Tribolium castaneum: one gene and its partners. The protein of the gene in region 3 binds, or shares a complex with, the protein of the main gene of each other region. Links are inferred from orthologs where the notes say so. Each region holds a gene or a part of one and is shown on either strand. Other genes may lie near its edges.

Region 1 (3,972 bases), on a different chromosome or scaffold from region 3:
CTGATGAAACCATGGCTTTAGGATTTTTGGTGAAGGATAAGACTAGGTCACAAAAACTCAAATTGAATTTTCTTAAATAAACTTATTTGCGTCCTCATACAAATATGTTAAAATTAAAACATAACCATACGAAACGCAATCACTTCTTACTCGCCAGAATTATACCGTCATATTTCTGCTGGAACCACTTCATGGCGTCTTCTTTCGTCAAACGGTGCGGGAATCCAACCTTCCCTTGTTTCCTCCTCCTGTGGGCGACATTGAAGCCAGGCCGTCCCAAAACGACGTAAAAATCTAAACCGTAGATACCAATACTGGGGTCATACTTGATCCCCAAATCGATGTGTTCCTGGATACCGAAGCCAAAGTTACCTGAAGCTAATTCTCTCATTAGAGCGATTTTCGCGCGATTTGTGCCAAAAAAATACCGGAAAAGTTGTCGCGTCTCAATTCGTACTCGCGCACTTTCAGGCCCCGTTCGAGGATCTCCTCGGCCTTGGCCCCACGGACTGTGCAGTGAACGGCGATCTTTTCGTTACGTCTGATGCCGAAAGACCGGACGGTGTAGCGGGCTTTGGAAAACACGGGCTGTTGCCCCGTCAATTGTTCTAACACCTGCAAGTCGAAAATTACAATCTGGGGGGCGATGCAAAGACACTCACTTTAGCGGCGCGGGTTAACCTATCACCAGACTCTCCGACGCAAATATTTAGGCACAGTTTGCGGATGTGAAGGTCCCTCATCACATTTTTGGACTTGTCCTTCACCTCCCGCTTTTCCTTCTTCGCTCCCTTCGCTACCGGCTGGAAAAAACACAACATTTTTTTTATAGGTTAGACTTGCCCTGTCATAAATAACAACCACAAGGTGAATTTTCGCCCAAATCTACTAAAAAAACAGCAAATGATTGGTTTTAAACGACTCTTTACGTGTTTTTAGGCGAAAAAACTGCCAAAAAATGATTTTTGGAACACATGTCCCTAATCACCAAAAACAAAAAATACGCCCAAAATCACAAAAAAACAATCATTTGACACGCAAATCACTCAATTTCAATCAATTTCACTGATTGTGCAAAACGATGATTAAAGAAATAGAAAATTGAACGAAAAAACAGGAAAACATACCGCCATTGCGAATCTAGAAAGTTGAAAAGACCGTCGGTAAAACAGTTTTCTGAAGCACAATTCTCTCCCGTTGCTATAACAACGTGGCGCTAAATTCAACTTGCTATTTTATTTGATCAATATCAAGAAATGGAAGAGGAAGAAGTGACCGATGAGGAGAATTACGAACCGCAGGTTTTTTCCAAAAACCCCACCGAACGTATTGCCGCCCGCCGGCTCCGCATCCAGCGCCGGGTGGAGGCTTTGCGCAAGTAAGCCCCTTTTTTCTGACTTTTTTTCATTTTGCCAAAATCAGGGCAAAGGAGGCTCAAGAGGCGGCAAAGCTCAACGTTACGCTCGAGCCGGAGGTCACCAAGACGCCCATCGAGATCCAGATTGAGAAGAGCATCGAGCTTTTGGAGAAGCTGGTTCTCGAAGGAGATGAGTATGTTACCAATGTTCGGGTGGCAACGGAGGCTCGGGAGGCCGACAGGCGTGAACGCGAAGGCATAGGGAAGGAAAAGCTGTTGAAGGAGCTCGAAGATGAGGCCGAGGCGGCAGCGGGGATGTTCGAGGAGATTGCAAACAAGTGGGGCGGGATTTTGAAGTATAATGACCCCTTGCATATCAGTGAGGATATCCAGAGTCAGAAGGAGAAGTGCGATGAGCTTATCAGACAGAAGGATAATCTCATTGCTGAGCTGAAGGAGAAGATTCGAAAGGCGGAAATCAATTTTGCGATTGATCAGAGAAAGCAGATCGAGGATGTCAATTCGATTGCACGCAGGATTGAGAATCAGGTCCCTATGACTTAAACGTTTTTATCCTAGATGACTTCATGCACATTTTGCTCTAAAGGTTTTTTCCCAGAATTTCTTTTCCTTCTCATAATTTTTTTCAGGTTTTTTTAGTTTTAGTAGATTGCAATTTTCGTAAACTTAATTTCGTTCATTCATTCATTTATCTACTGTGATTTTTTTGTGTATTTACTTTCCAGTTAATAAGGGGGTTAAGTTATAGCAATTGCTAAACAATTTAAATAAAACAGACGAGTTATTATAATTATTTTTGCAAATTATATTTGCTATAGTTGTATTGTTGGTTGCATACCCAACCAAACGTTTAATTTAGTTTTTCCAAATTTTAGATTATCGTGATGAGGAAGGCGTATCGCCAGGAGTTACAAATGATCGAAGAGGTGATCCTTGCCGAACGCCAAATCCTCATTGAGGCCAATAACAAGAAATGGGAGGAACTGTACAAGAAGCGAGACCAGGAGGAAAAAGCAAACTCCGAGCTCAAATCGGAAGATTACTGGAATTTTGTCAAAGAAATGGACCATTTGAACCGCGACTTTCAAGAACTGTATCGTGCGACCACAATTCAACTAGAAAACGACTGCGACGAGCTCCAGCGTGAGCTGGAAAGAATCAAAACCGATGCGGTTATGAACAGCGAAAAGCTCGACTACAATTACCAGATTTTGAAAAAACGCGAAGACGAGAATCTGATTATTCGGTCGCAACAAAAGCGCCGAATTAACAAGCTTCAGGACGTTATCAACAACTTGCGGAAGAAAAACAACGATTACCACACTCAAACCCATCAACAGATTGACAAACTCACGATCGAGTTGAAAAAACTGACCCAGAATATCCTCGATATTGAGCGGAAAGCTGATCATATAGCTCAGGTTAATGACGAGAAGTTTAAGAAAATCTGGGGTATGAATAAGCAACGGGCCGATCAGCTTTTCAAACGCATCCTCGAGATTGATAAGACTTTGTACGAGCAACAGTTAGGTTTGATTTGGAGCCCTCCTGAGCATAAACTCCCCACGAGAAATGAACTAGACAGTTACAAAACGGCCCTAAATGTTTTGAGCGTTCGCAAATTGAAAAGCAAAAGCGTGATTATGGAAACAGAAGGCGCCCCGAACGTGGAACCTGAAATTCCTGAAGGCGATGACATTGACTATAATAAAAATTATAAAAAAACGTTGAGACATGTCTTGAATTTGGTCGGCGATAAGATGGGGTTTTTGATCGAGGATGACTTACTTGCCATTTTGGAGCCCTATTTAGAGCAGGAACGCACTTTGGTTAAAGTTGATAACGTTTTTGCGGTAGTTTGTTACAGTTAATTGTTTATTTATGTGCAAAAAGAATATTTTAGGCCCTTAATATTAATGATCGTTCCGATATTGACCTACTTCTTGAGTTCTTCCTCCCTTACATGTTCTGTCCCATTTGTAACACAACTTCAGAAAAGCCCATCAATATTGATGAAGAAAGTTTGCTGAATGTTCATGAAATGGATCCTCTGAACGTCTCCCAACTCACTGACAATGATGGTACAGTCACGTTCAAAAAGAATGACACCCTTACCCCTGCCATTTTAGGGGTGTCATTCTTTTTGATCGTGACTGTACTTGGGTACCTAAGGTATTTAAAAAAAAAATTCAAATATGTTTTTTAAGACAGTAGAAGCCGATTAAGTGATACTTATGCCACCGACATGTCTTTGAACGAATACGTGGGGGCGGAGCGTGAAGGGGGGACCAATATAGACGTGGGCCCTTTATCAGTAACCCTTTACGACGATAATTTGAAAGGGGAGTGCAAAGGGCCCGAATTGCGCGAGCGAGAGTAAGCAAATTAAACGAATTATTTGTCACAAAATATTGTTTTTTTACAGTATCAAGGATCAGGACAGTAAAGGGTCGTTTGGTGAAGCTGATAATAAATCAAACGTGCCATGCCAATACCAACACCCACTTGTGATAAGCTCTGTTTACGTTTTGAAAGCTTTGAGAGAGTTTCTGGCCAAATATCACGTCAAGAAGGCCGGGTAAAAATTTGAGTTA
Region 2 (4,223 bases), on a different chromosome or scaffold from region 3:
CAAATATGGTAAATAATGTAAAAAACTTGCACATTTATTCCTTGATTACGTATGTTTGATGTTTAATTCTTGTTTCAGGTCAGCAAATTTTTTTTCGTATTTATTTTCCAGTTCTTTTTCTTTCAGTTCGAATTGGTTTCTGATGGTGCTTATCTCTTCACTATGTTGCTAAAAACAATTATTTTTTTATTGGTAATATTTTAAGCCTTTTTTTATATCTCAATCCTAGATTATAAACATTATTTTAAAGCACGCTTCCCATAGCAACGTGTTTTAAAAAATAAAATGTTCCAACAAAAAAAAATTGAATAACACTCATACGAAAACGCTTAAAGTTCTCGGGTGTCTAGGTATGCAACTCGCATATGCTCGTTGCATAATGACAGCCCTCTAACTTTAAGCTTGTGTTTTCGCACTCGTATTATTAATAACTATTTTTTGTTGGTAACATTTTAAGCCTTCTTTTTAATATCAGAATCATAAATCATAAACACTATTCTAAAACACGCTTCCCATAGCAACGTATTTTAAATTAAAATATTTCAACAAAAAAAAATTGAATAACACTCATACGAAAACGCTTAAACTTCTCGGGTGTCTAGGTATGAAACTCGCATACGCTCGTTGCATAAAGAGGGCTCTCAAACTTTAGGCTTGTGTTTTTGGACTCTTATCATTAATAACTATTTTTTTTTGGTACTATTTTAAGTCTTTTTTTTAATATCTGAATCCTAGATTATAAACATTATTTTAAAACACGTTTCCCATAGCAACGGGTTTTCGCTATTTTAAAACACGCTTTTTATAGCCACGTGTTTTAAATTAACATATTCTCAGGTGTCTAGGTATGTAACTTGCATACGCCCTCAAACTTTAAGCTTGTGTTTTACTCTTATTATTAATAACTATTTTTGTTAGTAACATTTTAAGCCTTCTTTTTAATATCTGAATCCTAAATTATAAACACTATTCTAAAACACGTTTCCCATAGCAACGTGTTTTCGTTATTTTAAAACACGCTTCCCATAGCAACGTATTTTAAATTAAAATATTTCAACAAAAAAAATTGAATAACACTCATACGAAAACGCTTAAACTTCTCGGGTGTCTCGCATGCGCTCGTTGCATAAAAACAGCCCTCAAACTTTAAGCTTGTGTTTTCGGACTCTTATTATTAATAACTATTTTTTTTATAACATTTTAAGCATTTTTTTAATATCTGAATCCTAGATTATGATCATTATTTTAAAACACGTTTCCCATAGCAACGTGTTTTCGTTATTTTAAAACACGCTTTTCATAGCAACGTGTTTTAAATTAAAATGTTCCAACAAAAATTTTTAAATAACACTCAAACGAAGACGCTTAAAGTTCTTGGGTGTTTAGGTATGCAACTCGCATATGCTCGTTTCATAACGACAGCCTTCGAACTTTGATCTTGTGTTTTTGCACTCGTATTATTAATAACTATTTTTTGTTGGTAACATTTTAAGCCTTCTTTTTGATATTAGAATCCTAAATCATAAACACTATTCTAAAACACGTTTCCCATAGCAACATGTTTTCGTTATTTTAAAACACGCTTCCAATAGCAACGTATTTTAAATTAAAATATTCCAACAAAAAAAAATTGAATAACACTCATACGAAAACGCTTAAACTTCTCGGGTGTCTAGGTATGAAACTCGCATACGCTCGTTGCATAAAGAGGGCTCTCAAACTTTAGGCTTGTGTTTTTGGACTCTTATCATTAATAACTATTTTTTTTTGGTACTATTTTAAGTCTTTTTTTTAATATCTGAATCCTAGATTATAAACATTATTTTAAAACACGTTTCCCATAGCAACGGGTTTTCGCTATTTTAAAACACACTTTTCATAGCAACGTGTTTTAAATTAAAATGTTCTAACAAAAAACAGGCATACGAAAACACTCGGGTATCGCATACGCTCGTTGCATAACGACAGCCGTATTATTAATAATAATAACTATTTAAATTCAAATAATCATAGGTACCAGTTTTAAAGCTTTGACTTGATCTTGATGGGCGACTTCTTGTTCCCGCATTTGCGCTTTCAAATCTCGCTTATCTCGCAACAATTCTCTTTCCTGTTCAGTGTGGTCATCTTGTGACATTTTCAGCGAAACAAGCGCTTCAGCTTTACATTCTGTTAAGTTGTTTTGGTGTTCGTATTGCAAATGTTTGACTTTTTGCTTGTAAAATTTCAGTTCTTCTTCGTTTTTCTCAGCCGCTTCCTCAATCTGTCGGTCTTTGTTTCTACAAATTTTTATTCTAGTGTTTGTTTTTACAAATTTTTAATTTTTGCACCTGAGTTTTGCTTTAGCTTCTTCAAGTTCATTTTTTGTGATTTCCCAAAACGTCCGTAATTTATCTCTTTCGAGTTGAAAGAAATTTCGTTCTTCTCTTTCTCGTTCGTTTTCCTCTTTTATTCGGTGGCAGAAGACCTCGAGCTGCTCTCGGGTCATTTGAGTTGTGTCCACTCCATCGATGATATTTCCCGAACCGCCTTTTCCTTTTCCACCTTTCTTTTTGGGAGGCTGGAAAATTTTAATTAGCGAAAATTCAAACAATTATTAAAATACTGAACCATTTTACGAAGTGAAAGTGAATGAACTAGCTAGCAGTTCTTCAAGAAACTATTTGTTTAGATGGTTACTACCCGCGTATCGATTTCTTTGGAATGGACTTATTTTAAGGGAGAATTCTGCCCAATGAGTCAATGACACTAAAAATATTCTGTCAGAAAATTTGGCATCTAAATGACTATTTAGAAAATGTGTCGGAGTGACAAAAAAACTTGTGAAGAATTAATCTTTTATTTGTTATTTCTTATTAAACCAGTAATTATTAAAATCGGATGCACAAAACTTTATTTTTATAACCTAGTATACTACAGTGTGAATTATGGAGGACTATTTATTAGTTTGGAGACGAAACGAGACAGAAAATCGCAGAAATTTCTGAACTTAAAAAAATAGTACAGCGGAGAAAAAATGAGGGCGCTTCAAGCGATTTTAAATTAATTTAAATCCAACCAACTCACTCATTACTTGGAAAAAATGCAGAAATGTTAAGCTCTGCACTCTTAACAAAAACTGACGACTAAAATTTTCATAACAAACATGAGAAAAAATTATTTAAGATTTAAAATTGGGAAAAAATTTCAAATGAATTAAATTTCCTGTAAAGAAGACCGCCAGACCATATTTCTAACGTCATCGGTTTATGCCTTGAAGACGCTGAACCAAGTGTAGGTATAAAGTTAATTATTACAGGGTGAGTCAATAGTGGGTTACTTCTAACATGTCCTAAAATGCAACCAAAAATACTAATTGCACGTACGACTTGGAATTTGATTTTTAAAACATTATTTAAATTAACACTGGTTTTTTATCATTTAAATAATAATAATCTATAACAAAATCTATAATGAACTGTCAAGACAAACTTGACACTATCCAGAACAATGTAATCTTGGATTAAATTAATTTTTTTAACAATTACCCATCTGGTCAGCAGGAATCGCTATTATTGGTTGCATATTTATAGAAATTTAGAAACAACCCACTTTTATCCACTATGTATACAGGATGTATCAAAAATTCGTGTGTTAATTTTAACACGTAATAAAACTCATCAAAGAGAACAACATTTCTATATAACATTTTGCAAAATTGTTATTTATAATTTTCTTCGTTTTCCTCCTTTCTTTTGTGCAAACGAGTCGGTCAGTGTTTAATAATTATTGCATTCATGGCAACCATTTGCATTGTTGTTTTAAATTGTTTAAATTGTCCGTTTCTATCACAACGAAAATAGTTCAGTTCACTTATTTTTGTACTTATAGATGAGTACACGTTTCAGTATGTTATCTTTTTTCAAATTTTGAGTAAATTTGCAAATTTTTTATTGAAAAATTACAAATAGAAAAGATGTTTTATTTGTTGAGCTCTATTACCTGTTAAAATTAAGACACGTATTTCTGATGCACCCTGTATAAACTGTAGAAGATAGAAATATGGTGTCAAGTACTTTTTTTACAAAAAATTCAGTTCCGTATTCCCAGTGTTTTGATAAATATGCGCCGGTGCGCAAAGAATTATTGCTTTGAATTATCAACTTGCGTTCCACCTTATATTTTTGAGAACGTAGTAAAAACGGTTAAAGATACCAAAAATGTGTAAGGAACAAAGTTATAGA
Region 3 (3,999 bases):
AAACTTGAAGTCTTGCTATGTAAGAAACAATGTATTAATAAAGATTGTTTATCTGCTCGTGTAATAAGTCCACTTGTGACTTAACCACTCTTGGACTTAACCTTTTTACTCGTAGATAAACAAACTTTTTATCGACTCGTATAATAAATAACTGTAAACCACAATTTATGTGAAAATTAAAAATGGTGGATGCGCCGGGCGTGACCTAATACTTACATGAAACAGAAATTATTTTTACGTTTTGATAAGCATTTTTATTTTTATTTTATTTTTAACCCAGTGTTCAAGTATGATTATAACTTTAAAACTCTAGAATTTTTACGTTTAATTCAAGTTTAACCTCTGTGGCGTGGAATTTTCAACAAACATAAAACACAATAACTTTTATTTTGTAAACTTGAAGTCATGCTACGGAAAAACAATGTACTAATAAAGATTGTTTATTTGCTCGTGTGATAAGTCCACTCGTGACTTAACTACTCTTGGACTTAACTTATTTACTCGTAGATAAACAAACTTTTTATCGACTCGTATAATAAACAACAATAAACCAATTTATGTGAAAATTTAAAAATGGTGGATGCGCTGGACGAGTTCTAATAATATTTTCGCTAACAGAAATTAATTCTACATTTTGCCAAGCATTTTTATTTTTATTTTATTTTATTTTTAACCAAGTGTTCAAATATGATTATAACTTTAACAATAAAAAATGTTTACGTTTATTCTAAGTTTAACTTCTATGGAGGTGAGATTTTCAACAAACCTAAAACACAATAACTTTTACTTCGTAAACTTAAAGTCATGCTATGGAAAAAAAATATATTAATAAAGATTGTTCATTTGATCGTGTAATAATTCTACTCGTGACTTAATCACTCTTGAACTTAATCTTTTTACTCGTATATAAAAAAACAACTTTTAATTAACTCGTCTAATAAATAACGATAAACCAATTTACGTAAAAACTAAAAAATGGTGGATGCGCCGGGCGAGTCAAAATAATATTTTTGTTAACAGAAATTAATTCTACGTTCTGCCAAGCATTTTTATTTTTATTTTATTATATTTTTAACCAAGTGTTTAAATATGATTATAACTTTAACATAACTATAACAATAAAGAATTTTTACGTTTAATCTGAGTTTAACTAATATGGAGGTGAGATTTCCAACAAACCTAAAACACAATAACTTTTACTTCGTAAACTTGAAGTCATGCTATGGAAATAATCATGTATTAATAAAGATTGTTCATTTGCTCGTGTAATAAGTCCACTCGTGACTTAATCACTCTTGGACTTAACCTTTTTACTCGTGGATAAACAAACTTTATGTGGACTCGTATAATAAATACTTGTAACTCACGATTCATGGAAAAATTAAAAAAATTGTGGATGCGCCGGGCGAGTCCTAATAATATTTTCGTTAACAGAAATTAATTCCTCTTTTTGATAAGCATTTTTTTAATTTATTTTATTTTTAACCGAGTGTTTAAATATGACTATAACTTTAACAATGAACAATTTTTATATTAAATCTGAGTTTAACCTCTGTAGGGGTGGAATTTCCAACAAACTTAAAACACGCTTTTTTGTTTTTAGTTAACAGTTCAAATACCAATTTTCATGTTTATAACTTCAATAATGACGGAGTTTTATATTTAACTCTCTTTACCCGATATTTCAGTTGACAGTTAAACCAAAAATATTTTGTTTTTTTTCAATTTATTCCATGGTTTGGCGTATTTCAATGCCTTTAACCAAAGTTAAAAACAATTTACCGAAGTAAAAGTGTCGGGTAATCAACTTTTTTTTCCTACGTACAGTATAATATAAAATAACGAAGGGTCAAAAATTGACTCCTAGGAATTTAGTACCGTAAACCACATCAAACTCTTCAATATGGATCAGCCTTTTAAAAATTGGCTCAAAACTGATATGATCAGTGGGATGGAACTCTGGAATGTCTTCTTCATCCCAGTGTAACGGCGGCTTCCATGCTTGCAGCTGGGTCACAATCAACGTCCGAACGTAGTTAGAAGACAAAGTCAAAATTTCGTCCATTTCATCTTCGTCATTATGTTCGGGTTGCGCTTGCTCGACCATCTCTTGCACATGCCTCTCAATAAATAAACTCTTCCAATTCCACGTTTCCCGTTTTCTGTAAATAATCGTTCCGTATTTATCCTGGTAGCGTCGTTGCCAATAAATTTCGTCCTAAACTGTGATTTTGACAGGACCACACTATTACTTAATTTGATTAATACCTCAATGAGGGGCACCACAAGCTGCAAAGGTAACGCAAGATCTAAAATTTCGAGGAGGTAATCGCGGTCTTGACATGGTAGTTCGTCTAATAAAGAACTGTCGGCAAATTTTGACTTTATCACTTCTACACATAGCGTTGCCAATGAGGGGCAGTGGTTCTTGTCCCATTGGAAGTTTTCAGAAAGGATTTGTCGGTCGGGTTCTCCGACTAGGATCAAACTTTCAGGGGACGCCTCGTAAGTGAGGTTTGTGTTTTCGTTGATTTTGTAAGGGACGCGCATTGTTGGGAAATTCAAAACCGCATAATGTAAATTTTACAGACGTTTCTAGTCATGTTGACACGTTATTAAGTGACAGGGGCATAAAATGTGAAATTTTATTCGGGAAATTGATTAAATTGTAAATTAGAACGGACTCAAATCGTGACTTTTTGACACTCTACGGTCGAAACTTTCTTTCTTGAAATTTTTGTTTCCAAATGTTGTCTTTATACACTGAGGTTTTTATTTTACTGAACAAACCATAACACTATTACTCCTATCTTGTCAATACATTGCTATATTTCTTAGATCTTCTGTGTTATACAGCGTGTTAGGGAATGGTTTAGTAAAAATTTAAATGTAGATAGAGAATGGCTAGACAAACCGATTAAATAAAATTTATGTAAATCGAAAATGCAGTTTTCCGAAAAAATCGTTCTAAAATTAAAGTCCCAAATTTTGAGAACCGCTGAACTAGAATTATAACAATTAGCGTAAATGTTAATATTATTGACAAAACAGCAGAGATAAATTAACTACGACGTTATATCTTTATTTCGATGTGTTTTGTTATTAAACTTTTCGAAAAAAAAACATTTTTTTTGCCTGGACCGGGATACAAACCCCCCACACAAATAAACATGTGGGCCACAATTTTGAAATGTATTCTGAACGCCCATGCGCCGCCATCTCGATTTTGTTTAATGAAAAAATTGCTAATAAACTTTCACAAGCCACACAGTGGCTCTCAACAGGTGGGTTAATAAAAATTTCTGAAGAAAGTACGCACTTTTTGAAAGAATGATATAAGGTATTTTAACTCGTCTGATCATGACAAATTCGCATTCGAAATATTGTTAAGCCATTTTTACCGCTTAACACTATTTTAAGATAGCAACGTGTTTTCACTATTCTAAAACACGCTTGCCTTAGCATCGTGTTTCAAATTAATGTTTTTTCTATTTGAAAACACCTTTTCCAGGACAACGTGTTTTAAATTAAAATGTTCCAACAAAAAAATTTTTGAATTCACAGTTATGCGAAAACGCATTAAAAAGTTCTCAGGTATACACTCGCATACGCTCGTTGCATAATGACAGCCCTCGAACTTTAAGCTTATCTTTTCGCACTCGTATTATTCGAGTTATTTATTATCTGTGCATAGACCATTGCATTCAACCATTTTCTTGAAATTCTTGAATTTATCAAAAACTTTAGACTTCTTTAAAAAATATACTAATGTTTTTCTTGTATTGTTGTAAGAAAAAGTTAATAAATAAAAAAATAAATAAAAAAAAAACAATTTTCACAAATATTGCTTTCGCTTTTGATATCTTTAAATTCGTGTAATTTTTTTGGAAACTGTTATAAATTCCTCGTTTGGCGTTGGTTGAAACAGCTGTAAAAGGGCTCAAACAGCTGTGACACTCGTGGCCAAAAACCGTGAACAAACGAAACAGAGGGTCACGA
Region 4 (4,244 bases), on a different chromosome or scaffold from region 3:
ACCGAGCCCAAATTATTAATTAAAAGCTTTTATTTGACTTGCTTTGTTGTCTTTCTGTCTGTTTCTTTTTTTGCAAGTCACATTTGAGAGTTCCTGTTGTCTGAATGAATTGAAATTTTGCATACTTACGTAATTTACTAATTAATAAAATTAATTTAAAACCATATGGGCCCGAGACTGTCTAACACTTGAAGCGCCCTTGTTTTTACTCTCCCGTTTTATATTTTTTGGCGCCAGAAAATTGAGCGATTTTGTATTTATCTCGTTCCGTGTCCTTCCTAAAACCTACTTACTATTTAGTTTTAGTAGTATAGGCTAATCAAACTTGTTACAGTTCAGGGAATCAGAGATTTGTTTTGCTTGCCGTTCGAGCAATACAAGAAAGATGGTCGCTTCTTCAGAGGCCTTCATCGCGGTGCTAATAGTTTTACGACTTCGACGGCAATAGCAGCTTTAGAGCTCACAACGCGGCTTATTCAACTGATTCAAGTGAGTTAAAACCGTTTCGGTTCATTTTCTATATTGTTATTTTTTTAGATTACGGCTGAAACTGCCTTTGATATGTTGACCCCAGGGCCGAGCGTAAAAATTAATCCAAAGACAAAAGTGCGCCGTAAACGATACAGCCAACCCAAGGACATCAGAGAAGGGGTGACCAATGCGTACAAGCTAGTTAAAGAAGTAGGACAGTTGTGAATTTTTGTAAAAAAAATTCTACGTGATGGTTATTGTTTCAGGGAATTGAGGAAACTGCCGATAATATACTACAAGTGGCTTCACACGAACATGAACAAAAAGGTTACAGTGGTGCTGTCGGGGGTGTTATACGCCAAATACCCCCAACTATAATTAAACCAATTATCATAGCTTCTGAAGCTACCAACAATGTGCTGGGTGGTATGCGCTGCCAGTTGGTACCAGACGCAAGAAAGGAAGCCAATGAAAAATGGCGTAACGAAGATACCTACGATTCATACGAGTGATAACAAAAGACTGTTGTTTGTGATTTTAAATTAACAATATAGATAATTTCGTTTAAGGTTGAATTGAGTTGTTGTGAATTGAGTTGTTGTTTTTACGTAGTCTTGTTATTAATCAAATATTCAGTGTCCATATTACGCCATTTTGGATGAGTTTACCTGAGCTGATACTGAATGATAAAAACGGGACAATATATTTTCGTAAGTTGAGCAAAATTGCGCTGTTCGTTCTCACGTGATATTCTAATAATCTGTACAACCACAACAAATGATTTCGTTTGTACCGATTATTTATTTGTATGTTGTGTGTGTTTGGATGCAGAAATGGACCGCGAATTACCATTTTGTGATAGGATTATTGTAATTAAACAATTTTTCATGTATGCAATATGAATAAATTTTTATACTTCGCAAAACGCGTTTTATTGGTTATCCCTCAAAAAAGTGACACTATCGTCATAGTAACGCGTTCAATTGTTGTCAAAAATGGAGTCAGATTTGGACTTCTTTCCGGATTATTTGAACGGTTACCAGTTCGACGATGGCGAAGGCGAAGAAGTGGAAGAAGAGGAGATCAAATACCATTACATCGAGATCTTGGACGCTCCGCGAGAGCTATTACCACCGGTCGAATTAACTCTGAAAGACCTCTCGCACATAGCGAACGAGCTGGGTTTGATAAAACTTTGTTGGCCCGAAATCGAACATCCGGAATTTGAGAATCGGGTGAACTTCCCGGAAAGCTACTTAGCCAATTCCAATAAGGAGAAGTTGCTTTTGCTCTACACGGAAAATTTCAGGAGGCAATTCAGCTACAAGTATCCTCACAGGAAGCAATTATTTCTGGCCAGTAACAACGAATGCGGAATGCAGGTAAGCAGAGAGCTGCCGCGCTTCCACCGCAAAGGGATAGATGGGGTGCGGTTGAATTTTTCAGAAAATGGTGTGCAATACGATTCGGCTCACAACGCTTCCCTATCCGGAAATTGAAACCTGGCAGGACTGCGCGAAATTTGTGGGAAATGCGCTGCGGTTCGAGCCGTTCGAGATTCCCACCTTGATTGTAAGTAAAAAACATGTTTATTTACAAAATCACAAAACAAAGAAAAAACAATGATTGTATACTACTCTTAGTTTTTAACTAAAGAGTTAAAAATATTGATATGATATACAGAAAAAAAACTTATTAGTACTTTCGTAATCGCTACATAGCTACATATTCATAACATATTCTTTGTTTAATTCATTTTTTGAATTTTTTTTATAAATTAAATAATTGCTGTCATTCTCTGTACACATTCTACAAAGATCTACGCAAGTGAAACTAAAATTTAATTTTTTCACGAATTTATTTTTTAGTGAGTGAAGTTATTACGTGTTGCAAATGAGTTTTTCAAGCGATCCTAATTCGTTTACTTATACATAAGATTTTTTTAATCTTGAGTTAATTTTGTTACAATTCCCTCTACCATTCCAAGATTCAAAAAAACCACCGAGTGATTGTACCGTCTTTTTAAATCACAATGTATAAATAAGAAAAGAAAGGCTTTTTATGCAAAATGGGGCGAGAACTGAGCTGGTTACATGGTTATATGTAGTTATACTCGTAGGTTATTAGTTATAAGATATAATTCATGTTTAAAAAAAAACTTACATTTTGTAACTGACTCACAACGTCAAATAAGGAAAAAGATTTTAATGGGAACTACCATTGAGTTGGAACTACGCTTTGCTTGTGTTATGATCCAAAATGACTAAGTCATGCTGACTCATGCATCCCCAAACCTTGTTGATATCAAGACTGATAACAAAGTATATATATACAGGCAATTAGAATAAAAATATGAATCTGAATCTCAATCTCTTCATGTTCTAGTGTAGTGTTAGTTTTAATAAACATATTCAAGAAATATTGTCCATTTACTACTCATCTTCAAAGAAGGCACTCAACAAATTGGCGCAGTCAGTAGGATGCGAAGATTGTGACAAAGAAGAAAGAAAATTGGGTCGACATCAAAAATCGAACCCGTTTTCCCCCAATTGCCACAATTGAAATTAATCTTCAAGAAGTCAAAGAAAAGGGTCGAGAAATTTTCATCGAGTATCCCACAGCTTTGAACGTAAGTGGACAATCTTTTTCTAAAGCTATTTTTAAATCTAGTAGTACGTTTATCCTGTTGCATGTTTCTTCGTTCACACGCAAAAAAAATAATAATGACTACTATCGCTACCACTACACCTACAACCTCCACAACAATCATAACAACATCGCAAATTCAAAACCCTATTCCTAATCGAAATCATAACTCTAACAATAATAATGATAATAAGGAAAACTCAAACACCAATGATACGCCAATTCATAACATGTCTGATATCCGGTCAATCATTTCTAACGATTTTGACGGGGACAGAAGCAAACTTTACGATTTTCTCCAAAATTGCGGTCAAGCGTGGGCGTTATGTCGCGGAGACCAAAAAATTTTAATAATCTCGTATATGGAATCTAAACTAAAAGGTGCTGCTAGAGCACAAACCCGATTTCACAAATTTTATTCTTTTAAAGAATTTCGTGATTGCCTACTAAAATTATTTGGAGACAGACGCGATTTTTCACAAATACTAGAAGAATTAAGTTCGATTCGACAACATAGGAATGAAAGCGTTCAATCTTACTTTTCGCGAATAGAAAATTTGCAAACCTTAGCTTTTAATAAAATATCTTTTCAAGACGAAAAAGAATCATGCGGCCGAACAGCAATGATTAACGAAATCGCTCTACAAAGATTCATTTTACATGCTAACGAAGAAATATCAAATGCTTTGAGACGATCTAAACCACAAAACTTAAACGATGCGTTAGCTGAAGCCCTTGACGAGGAAAGATTTTTAAATGCTCGTAAATATAATTCATCAGATTTTTCTGTTAATAATAAATTTTGTTCCTATTGTAAAGTCAAAGGTCATTTGTCAAAAGAATGTCGAAAAAGAAATGTAGATCAAAGTCATTCACCTAATCATAGTGTATCTAAAAATCATAAAACAAAATCAAATTTTAATAGTAACTCCAATTCAAAATTTTGCCGTTACTGCAAAAAGAACGGTCACTTAATCGAAGAATGTAGGAAACGCGAATATAATAATCAGAAAAAACAAAGCCAATCCTCTTCAAATAATAATGTCGTTAATTTAAACTCACAAACGTCCACAGTGAGTGTCGCACTAGTGGACAACCATTAAATTCAAAGTTCGACACAACTCGCA

What was found. Proteins that work in one complex are often made in the same cells at the same time.
Region 1: dynein regulatory complex subunit 5 (region 3) and dynein regulatory complex protein 1 homolog share a complex: the UniProt entries of both Homo sapiens proteins name them as parts of the nexin-dynein regulatory complex. The link is inferred for Tribolium castaneum from reciprocal best matches to the Homo sapiens genes DRC5 and DRC1.
Region 2: dynein regulatory complex subunit 5 (region 3) and Gas8 share a complex: the UniProt entries of both Homo sapiens proteins name them as parts of the nexin-dynein regulatory complex. The link is inferred for Tribolium castaneum from reciprocal best matches to the Homo sapiens genes DRC5 and DRC4.
Region 4: dynein regulatory complex subunit 5 (region 3) and lobo share a complex: the UniProt entries of both Homo sapiens proteins name them as parts of the nexin-dynein regulatory complex. The link is inferred for Tribolium castaneum from reciprocal best matches to the Homo sapiens genes DRC5 and DRC7.

The regions. Positions count from the first base shown.
Region 1 is NC_087399.1:6,863,435-6,867,406, reverse strand, and holds the start of dynein regulatory complex protein 1 homolog, read left to right. Parts: upstream 1-1,172; 5' UTR 1,173-1,256; coding exon 1,257-1,378; intron 1,379-1,422; coding exon 1,423-1,906; intron 1,907-2,253; coding exon 2,254-3,231; intron 3,232-3,281; coding exon 3,282-3,459; intron 3,460-3,585; coding exon 3,586-3,754; intron 3,755-3,803; coding exon 3,804-3,956; intron 3,957-3,972. Other genes in the region: RpL11 (large ribosomal subunit protein uL5), read right to left, coding at 140-378, 429-615, 663-803, 1,128-1,133. UniProt on the Homo sapiens protein: Component of the nexin-dynein regulatory complex (N-DRC) a key regulator of ciliary/flagellar motility which maintains the alignment and integrity of the distal axoneme and regulates microtubule sliding in motile axonemes.
Region 2 is NC_087400.1:9,427,199-9,431,421, reverse strand, and holds the start of Gas8 (dynein regulatory complex subunit 4), read right to left. Parts: upstream 2,801-4,223; 5' UTR 2,614-2,800; coding exon 2,611-2,613; intron 2,561-2,610; coding exon 2,331-2,560; intron 2,280-2,330; coding exon 2,018-2,279; intron 169-2,017; coding exon 50-168; intron 1-49. UniProt on the Homo sapiens protein: Component of the nexin-dynein regulatory complex (N-DRC), a key regulator of ciliary/flagellar motility which maintains the alignment and integrity of the distal axoneme and regulates microtubule sliding in motile axonemes.
Region 3 is NC_087397.1:8,815,992-8,819,990, reverse strand, and holds the start of dynein regulatory complex subunit 5, read right to left. Parts: upstream 2,801-3,999; 5' UTR 2,551-2,800; coding exon 2,269-2,550; intron 2,219-2,268; coding exon 1,879-2,218; intron 1-1,878. UniProt on the Homo sapiens protein: Component of the nexin-dynein regulatory complex (N-DRC) a key regulator of ciliary/flagellar motility which maintains the alignment and integrity of the distal axoneme and regulates microtubule sliding in motile axonemes.
Region 4 is NC_087396.1:17,962,989-17,967,232, forward strand, and holds the start of lobo (dynein regulatory complex subunit 7), read left to right. Parts: upstream 1-1,444; 5' UTR 1,445-1,466; coding exon 1,467-1,853; intron 1,854-1,917; coding exon 1,918-2,043; intron 2,044-2,843; exon of another isoform or gene 2,844-4,244. Other genes in the region: Atg2 (autophagy-related protein 2 homolog B), read left to right, coding at 335-489, 538-681, 738-983. UniProt on the Homo sapiens protein: Component of the nexin-dynein regulatory complex (N-DRC) a key regulator of ciliary/flagellar motility which maintains the alignment and integrity of the distal axoneme and regulates microtubule sliding in motile axonemes.